Linked DNA regions of Xenopus tropicalis. The protein of the gene in region 2 purifies or fractionates together with the protein of the main gene of each other region. This does not show direct contact. Links are inferred from orthologs where the notes say so. Each region holds a gene or a part of one and is shown on either strand. Other genes may lie near its edges.

Region 1 (4,490 bases), on a different chromosome or scaffold from region 2:
GAATAAAGCCACACGTGGCCAGTCACCTGGTTCCCACACTCACCTCTTTAGTGTTCTCCTTAGAGCCGATCTTCTTAAAGATTTCAGCAAGAAAGTCGCTCACGTTTGCTTTGGACACCTTGTCTTCCTACAGACAGAAAGTGCTTAGTTAGTTGGATTTTGTACAAAACCTTTCCTATGTTTTATTCCTTTGGGTCAGGGGTGGGCAAACTTTTGGGCTCACGGGCCACATTTACTTACCCCCGGGCTGGGCCGGACCGGACCAGGGCGGGCAGGGCCAGGCCAGCGTTAAGCCCTTCTTAGTCTCTTTAATTCCGGCCCGCCAATGACACCAAGTCTCGCGTGATGAGACTTGGCGTCGTTGGCGGGCCGGATTAAAAAGGCCAAGGGGCCGGATGTGGCCCGCGGGCCGTAGTTTGCCCACCCCTGCTTTGGGTCTAATCAGAAAGCAGGAACACTCATACACTAGTGAATACAACCGTGATGCCCTACAGTCCTAAGCATGCACTATCGCCCCGATATATAAAGTCTACTGGGATTTGTGTTCCAGCAACAACTGAATACAGTTTGGCCCAGGTCACTTCCTGGGAAAGAAACTAAAAACCATTAGATTGCAAGCTGTGAGCAGGCCCTAATGGATAAATCACAAATGTAGATTGCGAGCAGGCCCTACCCCTATTGATCTAAAAACATGCAACTTTAACAAGGCTAAAAAGGTGCCCATACATGTTGAGATCTGCTCGCTTGGCGATCTTCTCCCAATATCTCCACCTATGGGTGGGGGATATTGGGAAAATGTAGGCCAATTCGGTTGGCCTTGCGGCCAAACGATCGAATTCTAACGGCAGCAATGGCAGTCAGTTCGGGGACCACATCAACAAGCCGATTCGGTCCCCGATCAGACTTAATCTTTTAACATGCCCAATTGATGTCTGGCCAATTTCAGGCCAGATGTTGGTCGGCATGGCTGTCATTTCTGCCCCCACACGGGCCGATAAACTGCCGAATCGGTTTAAGGGACTGATATCGGCAGCTGCAATCGGCCTGAGTATGGCCGCCTCTCTGTTGAATATGCTTACCGTTATGTATTGTACTGGGGGCTATAAAGGCCACTAGGCATTTCTTTCTGCCTGCTTTTGCTCATTGTTCCTAGTGCCCCCTGTTGGCCAACTACACAATGGAAAACGGGCCATCAGTTAGAAACTTACAATGCGGGATGCTCCCTTCTCAGTCTCCTTGTCGCCCTTTGATCCAGTGCTATCCATGGAGTGCTTCATTACCCTGAGGAGGTGGGCCTCCAGCTCAGACTCGTGCTTGTTCTCAATCATACTCAGATGGTCCATGATCTAAAACACATTAAGTGTTTGCTACAGTCAACTTACATGGGATACTTGGAATCTATGGAAGTGATCATTGGCTACATTAGTTTGCACAATCTGAAGATCGCTGCTTAGCCTTAGGGGAATACAGAATACAATTAACCAATTGAAGTCAATTGCATCTTCTAACTCGGGGTTACGGCCAAAGTTAACCTTAAAGTTACTTAGTAAGTTCAAGAAAATCCAATTTTAAGCAACTTTTCAATTAATCTTCGTTATTTGTATTTCATAGTTTTTGAATTATTTGCATTTTTCTTCTAACTTGGCAGCTTTCAAATGGGGGTCCCTGACCCCAGCAGCCAAAAACTATTGCCGAGGCTGCATTTTTATCATTATATTTATAATACTTATTTTTCTATTCAGTTCCGCTCCTATTTGCAACTGTCTTTCATTCAAACCACACCCTGGTTGCTAAGGTAATTTGGATCCTAGCAACCAGATAGCTGCTGAAACTCCAAGCTGGAGAGCTGCCAAACAAACTGCAAATAAAAGACCAGTCTCAGATTACGACTCTTATCATACTAAAAGTTAACTCAATGGTGGACAATCCCTTTACATCTTTTTACACGAGGAACAGCCAACCCAAGCCTCTGTAAGCAACAATTTCCCACATTCCTTTGGCCAGCTTGTAATGCATTCTGGGATATGTAGTTCTGCGATATTAATATTCCCAGTGGCTTACTTTGGGCCCCTTGAGCTTGCAGAGTGTGTGCAGCAGAGTTTTCAATGTCCTCATAGGCAGCTCGCTCTTATGCTGCTTCAGCTTTTCCTTGGGCAGGACCCTCATGAAGTTGTGGATATCCAGCAGAATCCTATCCAGATTAAGGTTGTTTATGGACTCCGGCAGGAGACGGATCATTCGCCAGAGACACTGCGGAGACAAAAACTCAGGATTAGCAATGCAGTCCTACAGCGTTAGAAATAGATTGTCTAATAAAGTTTGGTTTGGACTTCATGTTATAATACAATTTAGCAATCGGCCTGGAACATAACCAATATGGCCAGCAAAGTTTTAGAGAGTTATAAGTTGCTCTATAGCTTTAAAGGCTTGTATAGTTTTTAATATAATATAATGTTAACTATGTTTAGGCTGTGAGCAACCATAGGGGATTGTTTGGCTGCATAGTTGCACTACTAGCCAATGTCAATAGGCCACACTGGCATAGGCCCACATCACCTGGTTGCCAGGCTAAGACTTCACTTAAGAGTAATAACATTTCAGGAAGTCGAACGCAGTGAACAATGGAAGCTCAAGTAAAACTGAATGTGATGTAGAGGTATTGCGGTGTTGAGAGTAATATAAATGTAACCCCTTGACTTGCCTCCCCCCACCAGCTCACTCTTTCCCCTTCTTCTCCTGCCCCCGACTCTCTCCCTTGTTGGTCTGTAAAGGGACTGTTCCCTTAAAGGAACAGTAACACCAAAAAATGAAAGTGTATAAAAATAAATTACGATATTATGTACTGTTGCCCTGTGCTGGTACACCTGGTATGTTTGCCTCAGAAAGACTACTATAGTTTATATAAACAAAGCTGCTATGTAGCCATGGGGGAAGCCATTCAAAGGAGGAAAGGCACAGGCACACAGCAGATAACAGATAAAGCTCCATTATATTCTACAGAGTTTATCTGTTATCTGCTATGTAACCTGTGCCTTTTCTCCTTTTTTCCAGGTTGAATGGCTGCCCCCATGGCTACACAGCAGCTTATTTATATAAACTATAGTACCGTTACTTTAGCAAATACACAACTTTACCTGTGCAGGGTAACAGTACATTATAGTTTAAATACGCTTTCATTTTTGGCGTTACTGTTCCTTTAATGCTGTTAAATCTTTAAAAAAGCAAAATAAAATCTTTTAAAAAAAAAACTGAATGCGATGTAATGACATGGAAACAAAGTTAGAGGGAAACTACATACAGGGGTATATTTATAATGCTGTGTAAGAAGTGGTAATTACCAGTGATGTGGCTCATAGCAGCCAATCAGATGCTTTGCTTTGGTTTTCTAACTGTTAATCTAATAGCGGATTGGTTTCCCGGGCAAAAGTGGGGTGAAGCATTACTGCCCGGGAAACCAATCAGCTATTAGATTAACAGAAAACCAAAGCAAAGCATCCGATTGGCTGCTATGAGCGACATCACTGGCAATTACCACTTCTTACACAGCATGATAAATATACCCCAAAGTGTTTAACATTAACAACTGACAAATATAAAAGATTCATCAACTAATGGAACAATTTTTGGATTGCACCGTACCTTCATAACCAGCTCATAGAATTTGGGGGAGCTAGCCGTAGCAAGGAGGCTATCCTGGAGCAGCATGAGCAGAGCACTGCAGAGACAGACAGAGTTAGTTTGGGCAGACTTACCAGATACCAGGGTTTCTATTAAGCAGGGGCTGTCAAAACTTTGTTCTAACCCCCTTTGACTATAGAATGGCCAGTTCTAAGCAACTTTTCAATTGGTCTTCGTTTTCTGTGTTATAGTTTTTGGATTTGCTTTTCTTCTGCTTCTTTACAGCTTTTATATTAGGGTCACTGACCCCGGCAGCTGAAAAAATCATTGCCCTGTGAGGCTACAATTTTTGCAATTGTTACTTTTAATAACTTTTGTATTCAGGCCTCTCCTACTCCAGTCTCTCATTCAAATCAGTGTGTGGTTGCGGGGATAATTTGGACCCTAGCAACCAGATTACCAGAGTTGCTACATAAAAGGTTAAAATAATGAAACCACAAATGAAAAAGACCAATTGCAAATTGTTTCAGAATATATCACTCTTCATAATACTAAAAGTTAAAGGTGAACAAACCCTTTAAGCCATGGCCCCCCTTAGTTATTTACTAGGTTACAGATAAAAATAGTGGCACAGTCATTCAACCATAGTTACGGTGCAGATAATACATTTTTATTCCAAGTCTTACTCTGACCTTCAAACTGGTTTTTGGGGTGTATCTAAAAGAAAGACTCCCCAAAGCTAACTCTAAGCAGCATTAAGGGAAAGCCTCCCCCCACCATTGCTCAATGCCCCCTGGGGTGGGAACCAGCCCTACAGTTTGCTATGAAGCATCTGGCACCTACCTTAAGATATTGGTCTGGTCAGCCTTCTC
Region 2 (5,257 bases):
TAGCAACCAGGCAGTGGAATTAGAGTAAAAGCAGAATAAGTAATAAGTTACCAGGACTAAAAGTGCAGACAAACCTATAAAAAAAAAAAAAAAAAAAAAAAGAGGACTAATTGTAAAGCTACTAAGAATAGGATTTTCTAGTATATATACTTAAAGGTAAACTATCCCTTTAAATGATCAGTGCAGAAGATAACATGAATGCGATGAGAAAGACTTTCCAGGTGGAAGCAATTAAATCAGAAATATTTTGAGTGTTTGGCCAGAATACAGCTTTGGGTACCTGGAGGGTCATTTAATTTTAATTAGCTGATTTTTTGCATTCCAGACCCAAATATATAAACTCTGCAATACAGTAACTAATTGTATGGGTTGGAGGTCCATAAACCGTTTTCTCCAAAACAGTGGTTAATGTAGGCAGTGTTAAAGGGGAAGTTTGCACCTTGTTTATCACCTTAATATTACCTAATTAACTTCATCAGATGGAAGATATGAAAAGTGTGAAACCAAAGCTCCTCTATTGCTAGGTTATTAAATAAAATCAATATGGATAGTTTTTTCTTTAAAAGTGTAGGTAGATGTATTTTCAACATAAACTCTATTTATTTAGCGCATGCTGCAAGAAAGGCCCCTTTAAAGGAAAAGTAACACTAAAATTTTTTTAAGTGAAAAAGCTATTCTACCCTGCACCAATAACCGCCCTATCCTGCAAACCACTTAGTATTTTGAATGCTTTAATAGAATATACCTGTTAAATGAATGCTTTAATAGAATATACCTGTTAAAACTTGCCTTCCTGTCAATTGCACTACAGTGATACGGCGAAGGAAGGAGCAGCATCCACTGTGCGACGATTGATGAGTCTAGCCTGACTCCTTCCTATACAGAAGGAAGGCTAGGCTCGATCAACCGATCGTCGCACAGTGGATGCTGCTCCTTCCTTCGCCGTATCGCTGTAGTGCAATTGACAGGAAGGCAAGTTTTAACAGGTATTTTCTATTAAAGCATTCATTTAACAGGTATTTTCTATTAAAGCATTCAAAATAATGATAAATCCTCTCCACCCTCTAGATTTCTTAAGCCTCCACTAGGGAGCCCAGATGCCAGGTAACATTTTACACAAATTCTGCAGCTTCAGGAAGAATATCAAGCATGTCGGCCACACCCACGTCAATGGAGGTGCCAATTTATAAACTTCAGATGAGGTTCTTCATGCACACTGGCATAGGGTGGTACCTACCCACCATCTCCTCCCAGCTATCCCCTGCCCCCCCTACAGACTCCATGAACAAGCAGTAAATCACTCTTTAGAAAAGTTCTCTACTGTCTATTCAGTCTGAAAGCCTGTATAGGGCACCGGGGATGGCAGACACCCACCCTGAGCAATACAACCCCAGTCCAGGGTATAACTAGACCCCCAGGGTGGCAATGCTTTGGTGGATTTTGTGGATTATACCTAGAGCTGGGCGGTATGACCAAAAATTTATATCACGGTATTTTTCAAAATTATATCAGTATCACGGTATTTGACGGTATTTTTTTTTCCAATTAACATTGGTGGCCAGGGCCCCTAAATATTGCTATTGAGACAATTAGTATTTAATCCACAGGGAACAAAGTTGAAAATATATGGAAAGGCTCGTGTTGGTACAATTCCTCAGAGGTTCTAAATCGGTATATGAAGCACTGCTTCATGCAGTTCTGTACTTGGAATGTGCAATTTTGGGAGGTTTGTACCAGTGAGGCGCAAGTAGAGGGAGCATGTAACCAGCTGTGACCAGCAGGAAGCTTTCCCCCCACTTTCCCCTTATAATTACGATTATTATTTATAAGCACCACCCCCCATACAGCAAGTTGGCCAGCGATGCGGCCCGTGCCGCTTCTGTTTGCGCCCCGTGCGTACTGACGTCATGTACGCACGGGGCGCAACCCGATCATCACCGGTATGGGGGTATTTCAAAAATGAATATCGTTTTTTAAAAAAAAAAAACTGTATTCGGTATTTTACGGTATACCGCCCAGCACTAATTATACCAACAAAATGAAATGCAATTGGTTGCAAGTCTGTACTGGGATTGAACATAGGCCCTGGCATTTCAGGTACACAGAGGCCCAAACAGCCCCCCAGCAGCCCAATAAATAGTGAGTGTCTATGGCACCTTATAGCAGCCCCTCTGGCATTTGCCAGATCCCATAGATTGCCAGTCTGGGCCTGATTTTCAGTACACAGAGGCCCAAACAGCCCCCCAATAAATAGTGAGTGTCTATGGCACCTTACAGCAGCCCCTCTGGCATTTGCCAGAACCCACAGATTGCCAGTCCAGGCCTGATTTTCAGTACACAGAGGCCCAAACAGCCCCCCCCAGCCCAATAAATAGTGAGTGTCTATGGCACCTTACAGCAGCCCCTCTGGCATTTGCCTGAACCCACAGATTGCCAGTCCAGGCCTGATTTTTCAGTACACAGAGGCCCAAACAGCCCCCCAATAAATAGTGAGTGTCTATGGCATCTTACAGCAGCCCCTCTGGCATTTGCCTGAACCCACAGATTGCCAGTCCAGGCCTGATTTTCAGTACACAGAGGCCCAAACAGCCCCCCAATAAATAGTGACTGTCTATGGCATCTTACAGCAGCCCCTCTGGCATTTGCCTGAACCCACAGATTGCCAGTCCAGGCCTGATTTTCAGTACACAGAGGCCCAAACAGCCCCCCAATAAATAGTGAGTGACTATGGCACCTTACAGCAGCCCCTCTGGCATTTGCCTGAACCCACAGATTGCCAGTCCAGGCCTGATTTTCAGTACACAGAGGCCCAAACAGCCCCCCAATAAATAGTGAGTGTCTATGGCATCTTACAGCAGCCCCTCTGGCATTCCCAGTACACAGAGGCCCAAACAGCCCCTCATAAGCCCAATAAATAGTGAGTGTCTATGGCACCTTACAGCAGCCCCTCTGGCATTTGCCTGAACCCCCAGATTGCCAGTCCAGGCCTGCTGGTTGCTATAGGTGACAGGACATGGATACCTTTGCATGTATAAGTTCGTAGAATTCCCAGACTACAGTTCCCAACCCTCTCCTCCTCACCATGCAGTGCAGTAAGGCCAAGGGGTCGCTGTGTATTAAATAGTAATAAAGCCATTACCCCAACCCCTAAGTAAATAGTCTTTCTGCCCAAAATCCAGACCTGCGCCCCTGTGACGCTGAACATTGTTAAATACCGACGTCGCTTAAACATCTAAACAATACGTGCGCCCCCTTTGCCTCAACAATCACGACACAGAAGTCAGTCATCGCCCGTGTATACCAGCCCCACCGATAGCAATAAGAACCCAGTCACAAACTACTTCGCCATATCCCCTCACCTGCGAGAAGAAGGCCTGAGCTGCCGGCACCGCGCTATTTAAACCTTTATGCACCCCGGCGGGTATCTGTGCAAGCCTGCTGCGCCTCAGACGCTTTTTGACCATGTACTTTTTTTGAATTTCTGAGTTTGGAAGAACCCGTCCAATCACAGCTGCCGAAAACTCCCTACGTCACGAACAGTTACGAATGAACCAATCACAGAGCGCGGGCTGTGACACGGGTTTGCGCGCCCCCGTACAGTGAGAGGCGTGACTGTGTGTGACGTCTTTGTTTTAGCGGGATCGCGCTTCCCTGTGTAATGGCTTACTGTTCTGCTTGTTGTCTTCTCATTTCATTCCCGCCTGCCACGTATCCTCCCCTGGGTTCTTGTGCTTTCTCCCACTTGTTTAATAAATATATGTCTAATATAAATACTTATTTTTGGTTATCACCAGTCACTGCTAGATTTAGTGTAAGGCAGAAATGGTGTTTGCCAGAATCTGAGAAGTCTCTTGTGAGGAATATATAATTGTGCTATTAAGGTGTCCATAGAAGTTCTGATTCTTGTTTCCTTCCAACAAATGTTCAGATAAAATTGTTGGATAAAGTCCGAAACATAAAATAATTGGCAGACAACAATTGTAGGGAAAGTGATGTCCTGGAAATGCACCTAAAGGTGGCCACACACATGGTGATCTGCGATCTTTCGCGATCGTCAGACCCGCCACTAACCTTCAGGGCTGAAACGGCAAATAAGGAGGTAGAAACAATAGGATTTCTACCTCCTTCTGCCGATTCAGCCCTGACAGCAGATTTTGCCTTCTATGGCGCCCGATCAAAATCTTTTGACCTGGCCGATCTGCGAGTCAACTGATATCAGCAGCCTCCTGCGATACCGGTCGACTCGCCAACTTGCCATACACGCACCGAATATCGTACGAAACGAGGTTTCGTGCGATATTATCGGTGCGTGTATGCCCAGCTTTAAGATATCGTCAGATACACAATTCAAGCACAGATTTTGTTGTTATTCTACCAAAATTTTCTAATCTGTCTGATTGACTAAACAACCAAGCACCACGTGGTCCAACAATTGGACGAAACTATGTGGGTGTATGGCCAGCTTTAGACATGGTGGCAAACCGTGGCAGTTGCTGCTTTATAAAGGCTCTAGCCCAGGGGTCCAATTGCATCCACCAGTCAATCCCCCGTGGATTTCTGGTGGAACGCAATCACGCCAGGAATGCAGGAGTGCTCCGTCAATGCGTACGTACGCTGCGTCACGTATGTAGGTATTCACGCCGTACTTCCGCATTCCGTGTTGATCCGGTCGATCGCGACTAAAGAAAGTCTGGCCACCCCTGCTCTAGCCCATCTAGGGCACTAAATGCAACTGAAGCAAAGCTTCCTCCGGCACCTAGGGTTGCCACCTGTTCTGGAAAAAAATACTGACTGCCTATATTTTGGCCTTTTTTTCCCTATTAATAACACGGCATAAAAGGAACAGTAAAACCAAAAAAGTGTATAAAAGTAATTAAAATATTATGTACTGTTGCCCTGCACTGGTGAAAGTTGTGTGTTTGCCTCAGAAAGACTTCTATAGTTTATATAAATAAGCTGCTGTGTAGCCCCGGGGGCAGCCATTCAGGAGAAAAGGCACAGGTTACTTAGCAGATAACAGATTAAACCCCATTATATTCTATATAGTGTATATTATCTGCTAAGTAACCTGTGCCTTTTCTCCTGAATGGCTGCCCCCATGGCTACACAGCAGCTTATTTGGTTTTGTCAGAGTTTGACACCACTGACAGATATGCCAACTTGCCATTTTTATTAACATTTTGGCCACACCTTGTTTTGCCGCAATCACGCCTGGTTACACCCCTGGCCACGCCCCATACCCACTCCCAGCTATGCC
Region 3 (5,168 bases), about 19 Mb from region 2:
AAGTCTGCTAAATATAATTTAAATGTTAAATAAATAAACCCAATAAGAATGCTTTGCCTCCAATAGGGATCAGGGATCAAGTACAAGGTACTGTTTAATTATTACAGAGAAAAGGAAAATCATTTTTAAAAATATAAATTAGTTGATAAAAAAGGACTTGTAATTAGGATCTTCTTGTAATTTGGAGCTTTTTGGATAATGGATCCTGTACCTATATAGCCTTATCAATACACTCACATATATAAACTATATACAAGTATAAGATCCATTATCCTAAAACCTGTTATCCAGAAATCTCTGAATTACGGGAAAACCATCTTAGATTCCACTTTAAGCAAATAATGTAATTTTTATTTTTTTTACTTATTTTTTTTTTTTCTGTAGTACCTTGTACTTGATCTCAACTAACATCCTTATTGGATGCAAAACAGTCCTATTGGGTTTATTTAACTGCTAAATTATTTTTCAGTAGACAAAGTATAGAGATCCAAATTCCAAAAAGACTCCTTATCTGGAATACCCCAAGTCCCGAGTAGTCAGGATAACAGGTCCCATACCTGTATACAAACTACTACACTAAACTAACTGTAATTCTTGAGTTCACTGTAGACTTGGATATTACACTTGTCCAAGAAGCCATATGAGCCAATCTTGGACATGTAAAGCCTACCTTACTGTAGTGCCAAAAAGAAAACTGCACCACCCACTGCACCATATGCTAAGACTTTGGATACGGGTGATCGTGCATAAGCAGTAGAGTAAAACTGCTTATGTGCCAGGTTTACTTGGAAATAAAAATATGCACTAGGGGTGCCTGGAGAAAGTAACTAAAATGCAGCGCTCAGATAGTTTTTCCCATGGGCCTGTGCAGTCTTCCTCAAACAGGAGTCCCAGGCAGGGGAAACAACTCTGCAATTTATTTCACTGGGGGTGCCTTACATTTTTACTGCCCCCCGTCCCCGGTGAAATTTGCTTTAAATATCCTTTAAAGGAATTTATAAATCTAGCATCACATCATAGTACAGCATGAAACAGTTTGGTAATTACCTGTGACCCAGGCTATTGTTATGGCAGTCAGACAAGTGCCTTCCTGCTGCAGGGATTGCTCTTTATGGGTACTTAATGTTACCAGCCAGAAAACAACTTTTCATTAGCATCCAGCCCACATAAAAGCATGCCAGTCTCTTTACGTCACCCCGTTCCTCTATACAAGAAAACAAAAATGACTGCCATGTCCCAGGCTGTTTTATAGGTGCTTGGGAAAGCTCTTGTGCCAGGGAAAGCTTCTGTGCCCGGGGAAAGCAGCTGTGCCCGCACATTATGGCAGCGTCTATGGGAAGAGACTATGGAATTGTGTGTTTTCTAGTGATATTGCTTCTAATCCGTAGAGAATATGAGGAAGAGGTTGGCATCAGGGTACCAATGGTATATCAATACTTACTGATAATACTCAGAACGGATGATTAAAAATAATGCTCATGCCAGCTCCTGTAAGTGCTGCTACTGCTGAGAGACGAGCCATCCGGGTAAGATCAATGCACTCTGCTAAATGCTGACTCCTGAGGAGTCCCTGTCCTTCTGACTGCTCTCCTACTGACAAGTACACAGGATTATATCAGCAGATGCCTCAGCTAACACTCACGCGCCTGGCCCATAGGTGCTACTAATGCCAAGCTGCTTGTGTTGTGAAAGCCTCGTAGTCCCCAACATATACTGGCGTTATCTTCAGCCATAGATTTATGCAAAGGATAATAACGTATATTACATAGGGCTGACTGCTGGCATCAATAGCAGAGTGCTAAGGAAGATCATGTTCATTACAGGGAAGGGCAAGGATGGCAACCTGCACATTACTCAGCAGTCACAAAATACCTCCCAGTATAAAAGGAGCAAAATCTGCCCTGAGAAGACCTTCTACAGTTACTAGACTACAACTCCCTGAGCCCCCACAGTATACAGACTCACAGCAAGTTTGATTCTTATTGTTGCACTTCTTATTGTACTTCACTCCCAGCCCTTTGCAATATTATTGGCAGCGGCAGTGGGAATACAGCTGGACATGCACAGGATACAGATCCCATTGGAATAAAAGAGAAATAAAGTTGTCAGGGAACACAGACTGGAATTCATGTAGTTCAGGGCCACCTAACCTGCTGCAACTTGTAAAGGGGCTCTCCAACCCAATAACTTTCTTTTGCTGTGTCATTCTATATATGATTAATACAAAATGTAAATGGCTGTAAACTTTTTTTTCTATACAAGGAAAAAACAGTATTTATCACTTTCTGTTCTCTGGTTCTGACTCTTGAAACAGCTGTTAAAGTGTTCAATTCCCTTTCAGGCCTGCTCATTAGCTTCTGCTACATGGTTTCATGAGTCAGGGACAGCAGCAGTACAGTATATAAACACAGAAGGCATTCAGTGCTAATTATATTTCAAAACAACTATAAAGGCATTAACCCTAACGAATGCATATTGGGCAGTGGCCCAGAATGGCCATTACTGTCACTATGAAGATAAAGCAGTTTTGGGGCAGATAAGACATTTATAGAGCTGGGTGGCAGCATTCGGGCCATGGTGGGAGTTGTAGTTCAGCAACAGTTGGGAGCTCCTGTCACAATGAAATAGAAGAATTACCAGCTCTCCTCTTCATCAAAGGGGACCATCCTCTCCAGTTCCTCCGGCCGAAGTGGCACTAGCTGCTCCAGCATGAGGCCGCTCTCCCCGTCCTTCCTCCTTTCCTCTATGGCTTCCTCCAGCAGCTCTTCCCATGTCGCCCCGTCCGCTAGCCCAGCCGGTCTCTCATACAGACCAGGCCCCGGGCTCAGGCTACGGCCGGCAAAAAGTTGGAAAGAGGCGGCTGGCGGAACGGCCTGTGCCCGGGGCTGCTGGCTGACAGGAGTGGCTGCCCGGGGAGAGCTCGGAGTGTGGTTGGAACGTAACCGGAGCTGTTCATTTTGCTTTTCGAGCTTTTTGACGAGCTCCTGCAGCTTCCGCACCTCCTGGTCTGCGCTCACATTGGAGTTAACGTCCTCCATATCCCTCCGCCGCTCCCGGTAGCGGCTCAGCCCCAGCAGGAACACATCGCCCGGTGCCTCACAGCAACTGCCACTCTGCGCCCTCAGACCGCGCCCACCAAGCGCCCTTAGCCAATCCCACAGCAGCCCTCATCAGAAGACACCAACTCGCAATAAAGGGACGTGGCATAGCACCTCAAGCCCCTCCCTAAAATGGAATCCCATTTGCTGCTCCGTAACTGCCAAGGGACTCCAAGCTGACATCTTTGATTTGGGCAAGTGGCATAGGGGCATTTGGGTGTGTTCGAAACGTTGCGTCACAGCGCAGACAGAAGTTAGGCGGCTCCCTAGGGATCCCCTCAACTTTATTAAAGCAACAGTAACACCAAAAAATATTTGGTGCTATTGGTAATAAGGTGCTGTTGGTAAATGTTTTGTGTTTGCTTCAGAAACACTACTGCGTTTTATATAAATAAGCTGTGGCACAGAGCCATACAAGCTGGAAAAAGGAGAAAAGGCACAGGCTACATAGCAGATGATGGATAAGCTTTGAAGAATACAATGGTGATCTACAGAGCTTATTTGTTATCTGCTATGTAACCTGTGCCTTTTCTCCTTTCTTAAACTTAAAATAACTACACCTGTGGCTACACAGCAGATTTGTTTATATAAACTATAGTAAAGATTATTGAAGCAAACGCACAACATTTACCAGTGCAGGCCAATAGTACATAATATATTAAATACTTCGATACACTTTCATTTTTTGGTGTTACAATTCTAGTGCTTTAACTGCTGAGCAGCCTTTGGAACAGTGCCATATTTGTAAGAAACATTGACACTAATGCTAGATTTACCCGCTCCAGTTATAGATGTTGGGGTGCCAGGGTATGTAGGAAGGATGGAGGTGGGCAAGCCCCAGTCTATGGGTAAAAATGTGCAATTCATGGATGGCCAAACAGCAACTTTCCAGCTGTTGATATACAACCTATATCCACTCTTAAGTACCCTAGGTAAGATTCCACCACCTATCTTGAAAGAGAATGGCAAATTGGTACTAGAATACATGTCCAGTCCTCTATATTATGACACTTAAAGGTTTAACCCTGTTTGCTGCACACCAACATCCAGACTGGCAAATAGTGAAGATGACTACATTGAGTAGCTGTGTAGTAGTTGTAGAAATGCTCTTGAAATCAGACTGGCAATCTGTGGGTTCTGGCAAATGCCAGAGGGGCTGCTGTAAGATGCCATAGACACTCACTATTTATTGGGCTGGGGGGGGGCTGTTTGGGCCTCTGGGTACTTCAAATGCCAGGCCTATTTTGACTCCCAGTCCAGGGATAATTGAAGTAATAGGATATTGGTGACATTTTTCTATACTGATATCGTCTTCAGCATCATTCTGACCAGTCACCTCTTAATGAAGCTTTGTGAAAAAGCTTTTCCAAAATCAATAGGAACTGCTAAACAGAGAACATTGCCTCTTCAATAGTTAATAAATAGAGTCCATCGTGTTTGGGAGATTACATGTTACCTTATAAGTGGTCACTCTCAGGCTTCTAAAATAAAAAATCTAAATAGTTGATATAAATCCTGAAAATGAGAACATCTACAGCATCCCAGAGATTGGAGCAGTTGTGCTGACATACCTCTCCAGAATAGATCATTAGGAAATTCACATGTCTGCTCCTCAGTTATATTTAGGCCTGCTAACAAAACTGGTGTAACCTAAACATAGGACACCCCCCCTAACTAAGTCCTGGCTTCTAGTAGTATTGCAAGACACTTGACAAGTAAAATTACCCTCTTGTTTATCCTCTATCTGAGAATGTTATCTTTAATAGTTGTGCTGCCTGGCAATAACCAAATTTAGCTGTGATAGTAATATAGAACGTAAGGAGAAGGAATCAAAACCACTGATATTGTAGAATGAATAAATATATGAAATCTGAGCTTTTAACACATAGAAATAAATGAAATTAGATTAAGAAGGGGAATGGTTTTGTTATTGCTGTATCCCCTTAAAATAGGTTTATAACCTCTGCCCCTTTGAAGGCCTCCCTTTAAACCACCTTTCAGACCAGTGGTTTTAAACATTTTTTATTTCAAGCCCCTGTTTGAGGTCCATGGTTTGGCTAGAGTACCCCT
Region 4 (4,490 bases), on a different chromosome or scaffold from region 2:
GATATCTGCTGAGAATCTGCTGCCTCTGCCTCACCTAGAGACTGATTCACTATAGGTCAGCTTTATGGGTGCCAGGGGGATCACTGACCCCCGACGGCCAAAATCTATTGCTCCATGCACTTACAGATGTATTAATAGTTACTTTTTATTACTTATCTTACTATTCAGGCCCTCTCTATTCAAATTCCAGTCTTTCATTTAACCCACTCCCTGGTTGCTAAGGTAAACAAGACCCCAGCAACCAGATAGCTGCTAAAACTCCAAACTGGGGAAGCTGCTGAACAAAAAACTAAATAACTTGATTGTGGGGTCGGTAATGTGACACATCCAGCCTATTCCTTCTGCCTGAGAAAATCAGATATGGGTCGCTTCCGGATATTCTAGATTGTAAGCTCTTTTGGACAGGACCCTCTTTACCTCTTCGGTTATTGGCTGCTTTGTGTGTAATTCTGCGTGTTTAACCAACCCCATTGGGGACTCTGTGAGGCTCTCTAAGTGTGAGTTCCCCTCTAGTCACCCCTTTGCCTGGGCACTAACTGTCATTTTCTTCAGGGCAAACTTATCAGCAATCGCTTTCCTATGCAAAATGGCAGTTATGAATCAAGGTGTTTGTTCACCATTAACAGTTACAGGTCTCTGTAAGAAGTGAGGAAACACATTGGGAAGCAGAAGAACCTATTACTGAGGCGGAAGGAGGAAGGGAGACTATCGGCTTTGGAACATTTTGGAGAAATTGTGCTCAGATTCTGAGTAAAACCATAACAGCCCCCGACCCCCCCAGAGTAACATTGTAGGGTACTTCCTACTCGGCTGCTCAGGGTTAAACAATACACATTGCGAATGAACATCTAGGTTAGTCAGTTAGTTGCAGCGACCATAAGTCTTACCCGGATGGGCCGTAGGGTCAGTCAGCTGAGAAGGTGTAGGCAGGTCTGGCTGAGAAGCAGAGAAGTCTCCCAGCACAGAACTTACAGAATTCTCAACAGAGGCAGGGGAAGCTGCAGAGGGAGAAGGGAGAACACTAGGCTGGGATGAAGGTGCTGAGACAACAGGGGTGCTCGGGGAAGGAGATGAGGACAATGAAAATGGTGGGAATGGCGGCAATGGGGGCGGAGGCGGCGGCACTTGGTAACCAGAGCAGTCTGCGTGCCCATTGGGTGCACAAGATATGAGAGCCATTTGGGCCAGCTGGCTGGGAGCGGAGACTAGATGGACGGGTCTGGGGCCGGTCGCTTTGCCCGGAGGACTACTAATCATCACCGGAGGAGAAGGAGGAAGGGGGGCAAAGTTAGAAGCCGACCATGATATGGGCTTCACGGGAGGAGGAGGTGGAGGCGGTGGAGGCGGAGCAGCATTCACCGGAGAAGGAGGTCGGGAGATTTTATTAACGGGTCGGGGAACGGTGGCGTAATGGGGCTGAACAGGATGAAAGGCGGAGCCCAAAGAGGTTGCAAAACGTGATGCCGAGTGGCGCAGCGGTGGTGTTGGCGGAGTAGAGTTAATGGAGGCAGAGGTTGCTATTACATAGTCAGCAATGGACTCGCTACAAATAGACGAGACCGGAACGGAAATGGCTTTAGCGTAAGTTATGGGAGAGGGTGCATGAGGCGGGCAGCTGGAAAAATCAACATGTTGAGTGTTATACAGTGAGCTGTCGAACGGGGGGTCTGGGGAGAGGTGGGATAGCAACAGACAGGACGAAAAAACAGGAAAAAAAGAGAAAAAAGGGGCTAATGAAGCAACCAAACCAGCATTCAAACAAAAAGTATAAATCAATGGAAATTGTTAGTAATAGATTAGATAAAGGGAATATTGCAATGAATTCATTGAGTCATAGGTGCAAGAAATTCTGCCTAACGGGGCATTGCTAGAGGGACTCTGTACCGCCCCCCCCCCCCCGGGGCAGAAAGATAATAACACCAGCACAATTGGTTTCAGTTACTCCACATTCATGTAGTGAGTCCGACTTACCTACTGTCCTTTCCCCCTAATGTCACTCACTCTCTACCCCACTGCCCCTGCCCGGGAATGGCACCCTACTGGTAAATACCCCATGTTGTGCAACCCCGGCACCACTCACTGCTGCCAGACTGGGCTACAAAGGGGGGCTTATTGCTTACTGAGGCCTGGGATTGATTGCCATGTACTCTCCCTGGGCAATTACCCTCTCCCTGGGCAATTACCCTCTCCCTGGGCAATTATGCTCTGCCTCCAAATACTCTGTAATGTGCAGAATATCATTTCCTTCTCAATAAAACAAGATATCGAAAAACATTAAGAGGGAATATGTCCGGCACGTCTATATCCAAAGCCCTAATATAAACCGGTCGTTCCTGCAGAAATCCAGCCAACTCCACTCTATGTTTAATATTTTGGTTTCAACAGTAGACTTTTTTATGCTGCAAACCAACGACTCCTGCTGCAAATCACTATATAAGGATGAAATCATCCATCCATTTCCCAGATCGCAGAAAGAAACCCGTGGAGTACGTTTACGGCAATAAGTGCCGGATGGTGTTTGAGAGTCACTGCAGGGTCAGCTGACCCCGGCACCTTCTATTAATGGCGGCTGATCCTTGGCTGGTAGATTTGGTTCATAGAGAGCAAAAGGGCCGAATGGGGCAATTCAGTGAGGGCTTGCAATGTACCACAGAGCAAACTGTACGACCAAGAAACCCCCACCCTCTAGGAAATAGGTGAATAGGAAAGCACTGAGAGACACCAAAGTCACAATGAGGCGCTTAGCACTATGGCCTCTCATATATATATTCAGTGAGCCAATAAGAGGGATCCAATTGGGAACGATGACTTACCTGCATTGGACACTCTCCGCTCCCTTTCCCATTCCAGCTGCTCCTTCTCCAGCTCTTCCTGGGCCTCTCTCTCTTGTCTCTCTTGTTCAAGTCTCTCTTGCTCTTGGAGCTCTCGCTCCAGCTGTTCTTGACGCTCCCTTTCCTGCCGTTCCTGCTCCAGTTGCTCTTGCTCTAAGCGCTCTCGTTCAAGTCTCTCCCTCTCCAGTCTTTCCCTTTCTTGCCTTTCCCTTTCCAGCCTCTCTCGTTCCATCCGTTCGCGCTCCAGTCGCTCACGTTCCAGCCGTTCCCTTTCCAGCCTCTCGCGTTCCATCTCTTTCTGGCGCTGCTGCTCTTGCAGCTGTCTGAAACAGGAACGGAGAGAGCCATGACACAGGGATAAAGGGAACCATGGCTACCTGCTAAATGCCCTCCTCTACCAACATTAATATTTTAATGGCAGTCACCTTTACTACTATGGAGGGGTCGGCGTGCTGCCGGTCACTAGTTCACAACCCATTATTCTCCCAAATAATCTCTTAACTAGGGTCACAGTGTCACTCACACTGTCATTCCAAAACCATAACAGAGCCAGGTACTGTCTGTCTGTCTGCATGCTGGGCAGGGAGTCACTGAGGGATCCATAAATGAGGCTTTTATACTATTGGATAATAAAGATCACAGAGGTGTAGAACTCATTGGCCCATTAGGTGTAACAGTATGAGGGGCCCTGGTGTAGAACTCATTGGCCCATTAGGTGTAACAGTATGAGGGGCCCTGGTGTAGAACTCATTGGCCCATTAGGTGTAACAGTATGAGGGGCCCATTAGGTGTAACAGTATGAGGGGCCCATTAGGTGTAACAGTATGAGGGGCCCATTAGGTGTAACAGTATGAGGGGCCCTGGTGTAGAACTCATTGGCCCATTAGGTGTAACAGTATGAGGGGCCCTGGTGTAGAACTCATTGGCCCATTAGGTGTAACAGTATGAGGGGCCCTGGTGTAGAACTTCATTGGCCCATTAGGTGTAACAGTATGAGGGGCCCATTAGGTGTAACAGTATGAGGGGCCCATTAGGTGTAACAGTATGAGGGGCCCTGGTGTAGAACTCATTGGCCCATTAGGTGTAACAGTATGAGGGGCCCATTAGGTGTAGAACTCATTGGCCCATTAGGTGTAGAACTCATTGGCCCATTAGGTGTAGAACTCATTGGCCCATTAGGTGTAGAACTCATTGGCCCATTAGGTGTAACAGTATGAGGGGCCCTGGTGTAGAACTCATTGGCCCATTAGGTGTAACAGTATGAGGGGCCCTGGTGTAGAACTCATTGGCCCATTAGGTGTAACAGTATGAGGGGCCCATTAGGTGTAACAGTATGAGGGGCCCATTAGGTGTAACAGTATGAGGGGCCCATTAGGTGTAACAGTATGAGGGGCCCTGGTTGTAGAACTCATTGGCCCATTAGGTGTAACAGTATGAGGGGCCCTGGTGTAGAACTCATTGGCCCATTAGGTGTAACAGTATGAGGGGCCCATTAGGTGTAGAACTCATTGGCCCATTAGGTGTAACAGTATGAGGGGCCCATTAGGTGTAACAGTATGAGGGGCCCATTAGGTGTAACAGTATGAGGGGCCATTAGGTGTAACAGTATGAGGGGCCCTGGTGTAGAACTCATTGGCCCATTAGGTGTAACAGTATGAG
Region 5 (4,490 bases), on a different chromosome or scaffold from region 2:
CACTTACACTATATAGCAAGCAGGCAGGTGCCATTTTGTTAGTAAGGAAAGCATTGCATCATGCCAAAATCCAAAAAGTAAAAGATATAATTCCTAGAGAGAAGTAGCCAACATTGCTTATATTCCTCTTTCTTGCAGACCTTTTCTTTTTAAACATGTGACAATCCGTGCCAGATTTCTTATTCGGACGCCCCAAGGCCGCCCCCATTCTTCGCCCATACCTCCACCCCCCCCGTTGCTAGCGCACACATTTAACTTTACATACGGAGCACTGGGGAGAGGTCCCCATTGCTCCGTATGGGAGCTAAATTTCAAAGATTAGGTGTGGCGGGGCGGTGTGCTGCCCCTATATCTGTGCCGCCATAGGCCCAGGCCTTTGTAGCCTCGCCACAAATCTGGGTCAGGTGACAATAAAGAAAGGCCTGGATTTTTCTCCAGCCAGAGTCTGTTTGCAAAACTAGCATTTAAGACATGAAAGCATATTGTATTACTTTGTGCCCAAGATGCATTTGCTCACTTTATTACCAAAATTATGTTTATCTGTAGACAAGAGAAATAAGAAAGGTTGTTAAACAGCAACTGAACAGTGGATGATGATTAGGCCAATGGCAACAATTAAAAAAATGGCAATGGAAAAATATGAAAATACACCTTTAAATATTTCTTATAGACAAATAAAAAACTAAGGCATAGCAGCTTTTAAAAGTGTCGTTCATGTTAAAATAAATGTTACTTCCATGATGTAGACTGTAATATTCTATTACAATTTGCAGTTGGCTTTTTTAAATGACTAGTGTGTTGTTCAGTAGCTCTCCAGTTTGGCACTTCAACAGATATCTGGTTGCTAGAAATTGTTGTGGGCTGCTGGGTCAGTGTCCCCCATGTAAAAGCTGGAAACAAGCAGAAGAGAAAGCCACATAATTAAAAGAAATGATTTTCCTCAACAAACCTAAATGTGAACTACCCCTTTAAGTATTAAAAGATTAGAGCTTTGAGCTGCTCTTGAAGTACAGGGTAAAACACTTTGTAATTCACTTGCTTTCAGATATCCTTTATATATTTCCTCTACTTTCAGGGTGCAACAGGAAATTGAGCAGAGGATTCAGAGCCCAGGTAAGGGAAATAGGGGCCGTTCGGCTTTATAGCTTGTATATTTCCCTTTTGCTGTGGGTCCCAGGGCAGAACCTTTATTGTGGCAAAAGATACCATTGCAGAAGTGGGAAATGTGTGGGTGTATATGTTTTTAACAGATTGTTGAGGTATTGAGCTATCTGCACATTAAAAGGCCAACTTTGGGATTTACAGATAGTAGTTATTGTTAGAGTATAAACAATTATTATACTATATACCATTATAATTAGTTTTTAAATGATTGCCCTGCTGAGAGTATCTTCTTCTCTTTACACTCTTCCAGTTGCCCCGGTCATGCCAACTCCTGCTCCTGCTGCTCCCCCTGCACCACCTGGCCCACCTCCTCCCCCAGGTCCACCACCACCACCAGGGGGCCCCCCAGGGGGCCCACCAGCTCCTCCAGCTCCCACTGGAGGTGGTCCCCCACCCCCACCCCCACTTCCATCTGGGGGTGGAGGAGGCTCAAGTGGAGTTTCTGGGGGGCTGGCGGCAGCCCTTGCAACAGCAAAATTGCGGAAAGTGGCCAAGGTGAGAATCAAAGGTTTGACAAGCATTGTATGGGAAGTTTAGAGGAAAATCTATATAGCTATATCTATATACCATATGAGTGAAGTACCATATGATGGGAGTACATATACTAGATGGTAGAAAACATGGAACACTAGGAAGCAAGATAAAATGATAACAATTATAATTGATTAATGTATGTCTGGGGTGAAAGGACAGTCATTTTTATGGACCATACTAGTTTTTTTTTTTTTTTAATTTGTTTTTTAGAATGATGATGCTGGTGGTGGAGGATCCTCTCCCGTTGGTGGAGCACCTGCCAAGCCTGACATAAGTCGCACAAGTGGTGGGGCAGCAACAGGAGGGGGTGGTGGAGGAGGACTGATGGAAGAGATGAATGCAAAACTGGCTCGCAGGTAACCTGGCAGCAGATTTGAAAGGTTGTTGTAACAATACAATGCTTCAGCAAATAAAAAGTATGCAGGGGGTGTACAAACAGGGTGATCTCTGCCACGTGTAGCATAGACCCACCATTTCTACAATAGAAGAATCATGATTAAACCAAAATGTTGTGCACACTTCTCATCACCTTACTATTACATTCAATAGTTAATTAGCTGACATGGAATGTTAAAATGTATATATTGAAGTATTGTAAGAATATGTTTGCCCCAATGTGCTTAGTATCATACTTTTATAAGCAAGCAAAGGAATTAATTTAGAATCCGGTTTTGTGGTCTCGTAACTGTGGGTAAATGCTGATGTGTGCATGTAGTAGAGGAGAGAAAAACGCTTATGGTGCAAACAGGTTTCCAGGCAGACTGTCACTGGATGGCTGATGTCTAAACTGCCTTTGTTCCAGTATTCCTGACTAAAGCCATACACGCACCAATATTATCGTATGAAACATGTATGGCGGCTCGATGAGGCAACCGATATGGCAAAAGCTGCGGATATCGGTCGTCTCGTCGATTGGCCAGGCTAAAAGAATTGCACCCCAGCAAAATCTACATTTAGGGCTGAATTGGCAGGTGGAAGTAGAATTTCTATTGTTTCTATGTCCATATCTGACGATTCAGCCCTGAACGTCAGTGGAGGGTGGGAACGATCTTTTGTGCGACCAGTGATCGTTATTGCTACGTGTATGGCCACCTTAACCCTAATAGAAACATAGTGGACACTGGAAAAAAGAAGTGTAAGGGGGGGCGTATAAATCGGACCAGCAGAGAGTATGGTATTATATACTGTAAGTGTTTCAACCAAAGTGTTGCACTTTGGTATGAATAAACTGTGCCATACAATACTTCACTATTGGGAGGCTTTTGTTTTGCTTTGTGTTTTTTTATCAGATTTAGCTAAGAGTAGCATTTGTATACAGTATGTTCCACTATTTATTTTATTTCTATAAAACATGCAAATAGAATTATGTATTTATTCCATAGGCTGGCTAAGTTTTGTATACTAATTACAAGGAAAATAAATTCAAAACTAATTAAAATCAAATCAAAATGGGCTTTAGACAAGCCTATCCAGGGAGGGAGGCAAACAGGGGAAACAGGTGGGCCATTGTGTAAGTTGTCGTATACCTTCTCACAATTACAGGAAGATGATGACACAGCAAGGGGAGCGCCCACCACCCACCACAACCCAAGATGATAATGATATTCAGGCAGGACGTGGCCAGAGTGGTAAGTGAAAAATATATTTTAATATATTATCAGCACATTATATGGCCAGCTTTAGAAACTGTTCTAAACACATACTAATAAAAAGTAACTTTCCAATAAAGGAACCAGCCAGTATTACCAGGGGAGATAACTGCTATGTATGTCTTCAGTATTTACTTTTTAATCATATTTGCAGTACACAGATTTTGAAGGAAATGTAGATTTTCCTTCACTAAAAAGACATAATTGCTGTGTAAAGTGCTTTATTCTAAATATATTTACAGAACAAAAAAAACTATTGTCATGGTCTGAGACTATGCATGCAATATAATAGTTGGGTTAGAGGCAGCATGTTGGAGTGGCTTGCAGGAATCATACCCACCTGCCATTTGAGAAAATAAACAGAGCAGAAAAGCAAAACATTTACTGCAAAATATTAGTAAGGTAAAACTTTTGTTTCATTCAAGGGTTTAGGTTGATTGCACATATAGCACATTTAGTGCTTTTTTTTAGCTGGCTAAATTGTACCCTACTACCACCTTTGAGGCCTGCATCCAGAAATTATGGGCACCTGTACTACTTGACTAGCAGGGGCTGCCAGGGTTTTTAGCTTACCAATTGCCCTAGACTCCTGGGCAGTGGTCCCTGACAACTAAGTAGAATGTGTCCCCAATGCAAAAAAGAAGCCAATTAAAAATTTTGCACCAGACCAAGCCCCTGATCTGCCCCACCCCTTCATTGTCTGCAAATGGGACTTTAGTATTTCTCAGGCCCCTCCAGGTCTGGATTGGGATTCAAAATAGGCCTGGCATTCAAAGTACAGGGGCCCAAACATGCCACCTCAGCAGCCCAATAATAATAATAATAGTGACAGTCTGTGGCATCTTACAGTAGCCCCTCTAACATTTGCCAGAATCCACAAATTACTAGTTCAGTTTTTTTACCATGAGCCCCTATCCGGAACTCTTGTGTACACCTAATAACTGCTCTGCTTCCTTTTGGCATAAAGGAAACACAGCGCAAGTGTTTTTAGGTTGAAAGCCACAGAAATTCTTGCTGTATGGTGTTTACTGTTGAAGTCAGTGGGGGTTGGCAGCTGGCAGGGAAGGTTTTCAGTGATTTTTAGCCACCTGAAAAATGTGACCAGTATCTCACAACCTTAAAGGAGAAGGAAAGGCATTTTGA

The links.
Region 1: the proteins of tacc3 (region 2) and ckap5 purify together in Homo sapiens (co-immunoprecipitation; 5 studies listed by BioGRID and IntAct, with this or other methods). This does not show direct contact. The link is inferred for Xenopus tropicalis from reciprocal best matches to the Homo sapiens genes TACC3 and CKAP5.
Region 3: the proteins of tacc3 (region 2) and slain2 purify together in Homo sapiens (co-immunoprecipitation; 3 studies listed by BioGRID and IntAct, counting the BioPlex papers as one, with this or other methods). This does not show direct contact. The link is inferred for Xenopus tropicalis from reciprocal best matches to the Homo sapiens genes TACC3 and SLAIN2.
Region 4: the proteins of tacc3 (region 2) and enah purify together in Homo sapiens (co-immunoprecipitation; 3 studies listed by BioGRID and IntAct, with this or other methods). This does not show direct contact. The link is inferred for Xenopus tropicalis from reciprocal best matches to the Homo sapiens genes TACC3 and ENAH.
Region 5: the proteins of tacc3 (region 2) and vasp purify together in Homo sapiens (co-immunoprecipitation; 3 studies listed by BioGRID and IntAct, with this or other methods). This does not show direct contact. The link is inferred for Xenopus tropicalis from reciprocal best matches to the Homo sapiens genes TACC3 and VASP.

What each region holds. Positions count from the first base shown.
Region 1 is NC_030680.2:12,922,280-12,926,769, reverse strand, and holds part of ckap5 (cytoskeleton-associated protein 5), read right to left. Parts: coding exon 4,462-4,490; intron 3,716-4,461; coding exon 3,640-3,715; intron 2,251-3,639; coding exon 2,062-2,250; intron 1,347-2,061; coding exon 1,209-1,346; intron 128-1,208; coding exon 44-127; intron 1-43. UniProt on the Homo sapiens protein: Binds to the plus end of microtubules and regulates microtubule dynamics and microtubule organization. Acts as a processive microtubule polymerase. Promotes cytoplasmic microtubule nucleation and elongation. Plays a major role in organizing spindle poles.
Region 2 is NC_030677.2:20,374,353-20,379,609, reverse strand, and holds the start of tacc3 (transforming acidic coiled-coil-containing protein 3), read right to left. Parts: upstream 3,481-5,257; 5' UTR 3,360-3,480; intron 1-3,359. UniProt on the Homo sapiens protein: Plays a role in the microtubule-dependent coupling of the nucleus and the centrosome. Involved in the processes that regulate centrosome-mediated interkinetic nuclear migration (INM) of neural progenitors.
Region 3 is NC_030677.2:38,879,411-38,884,578, reverse strand, and holds the start of slain2 (SLAIN motif-containing protein 2), read right to left. Parts: upstream 3,171-5,168; 5' UTR 3,039-3,170; coding exon 2,638-3,038; intron 1-2,637.
Region 4 is NC_030681.2:8,522,702-8,527,191, reverse strand, and holds part of enah (protein enabled homolog), read right to left. Parts: exon of another isoform or gene 4,429-4,490; intron 4,352-4,428; exon of another isoform or gene 4,328-4,351; intron 4,035-4,327; exon of another isoform or gene 3,939-4,034; intron 3,766-3,938; exon of another isoform or gene 3,412-3,765; intron 3,155-3,411; coding exon 2,814-3,154; intron 1,668-2,813; coding exon of another isoform or gene 888-1,667; intron 1-887. UniProt on the Homo sapiens protein: Ena/VASP proteins are actin-associated proteins involved in a range of processes dependent on cytoskeleton remodeling and cell polarity such as axon guidance and lamellipodial and filopodial dynamics in migrating cells.
Region 5 is NC_030684.2:70,566,495-70,570,984, reverse strand, and holds part of vasp (vasodilator-stimulated phosphoprotein), read left to right. Parts: intron 1-1,075; coding exon 1,076-1,113; intron 1,114-1,414; coding exon 1,415-1,659; intron 1,660-1,908; coding exon 1,909-2,054; intron 2,055-3,240; coding exon 3,241-3,326; intron 3,327-4,490. UniProt on the Homo sapiens protein: Ena/VASP proteins are actin-associated proteins involved in a range of processes dependent on cytoskeleton remodeling and cell polarity such as axon guidance, lamellipodial and filopodial dynamics, platelet activation and cell migration.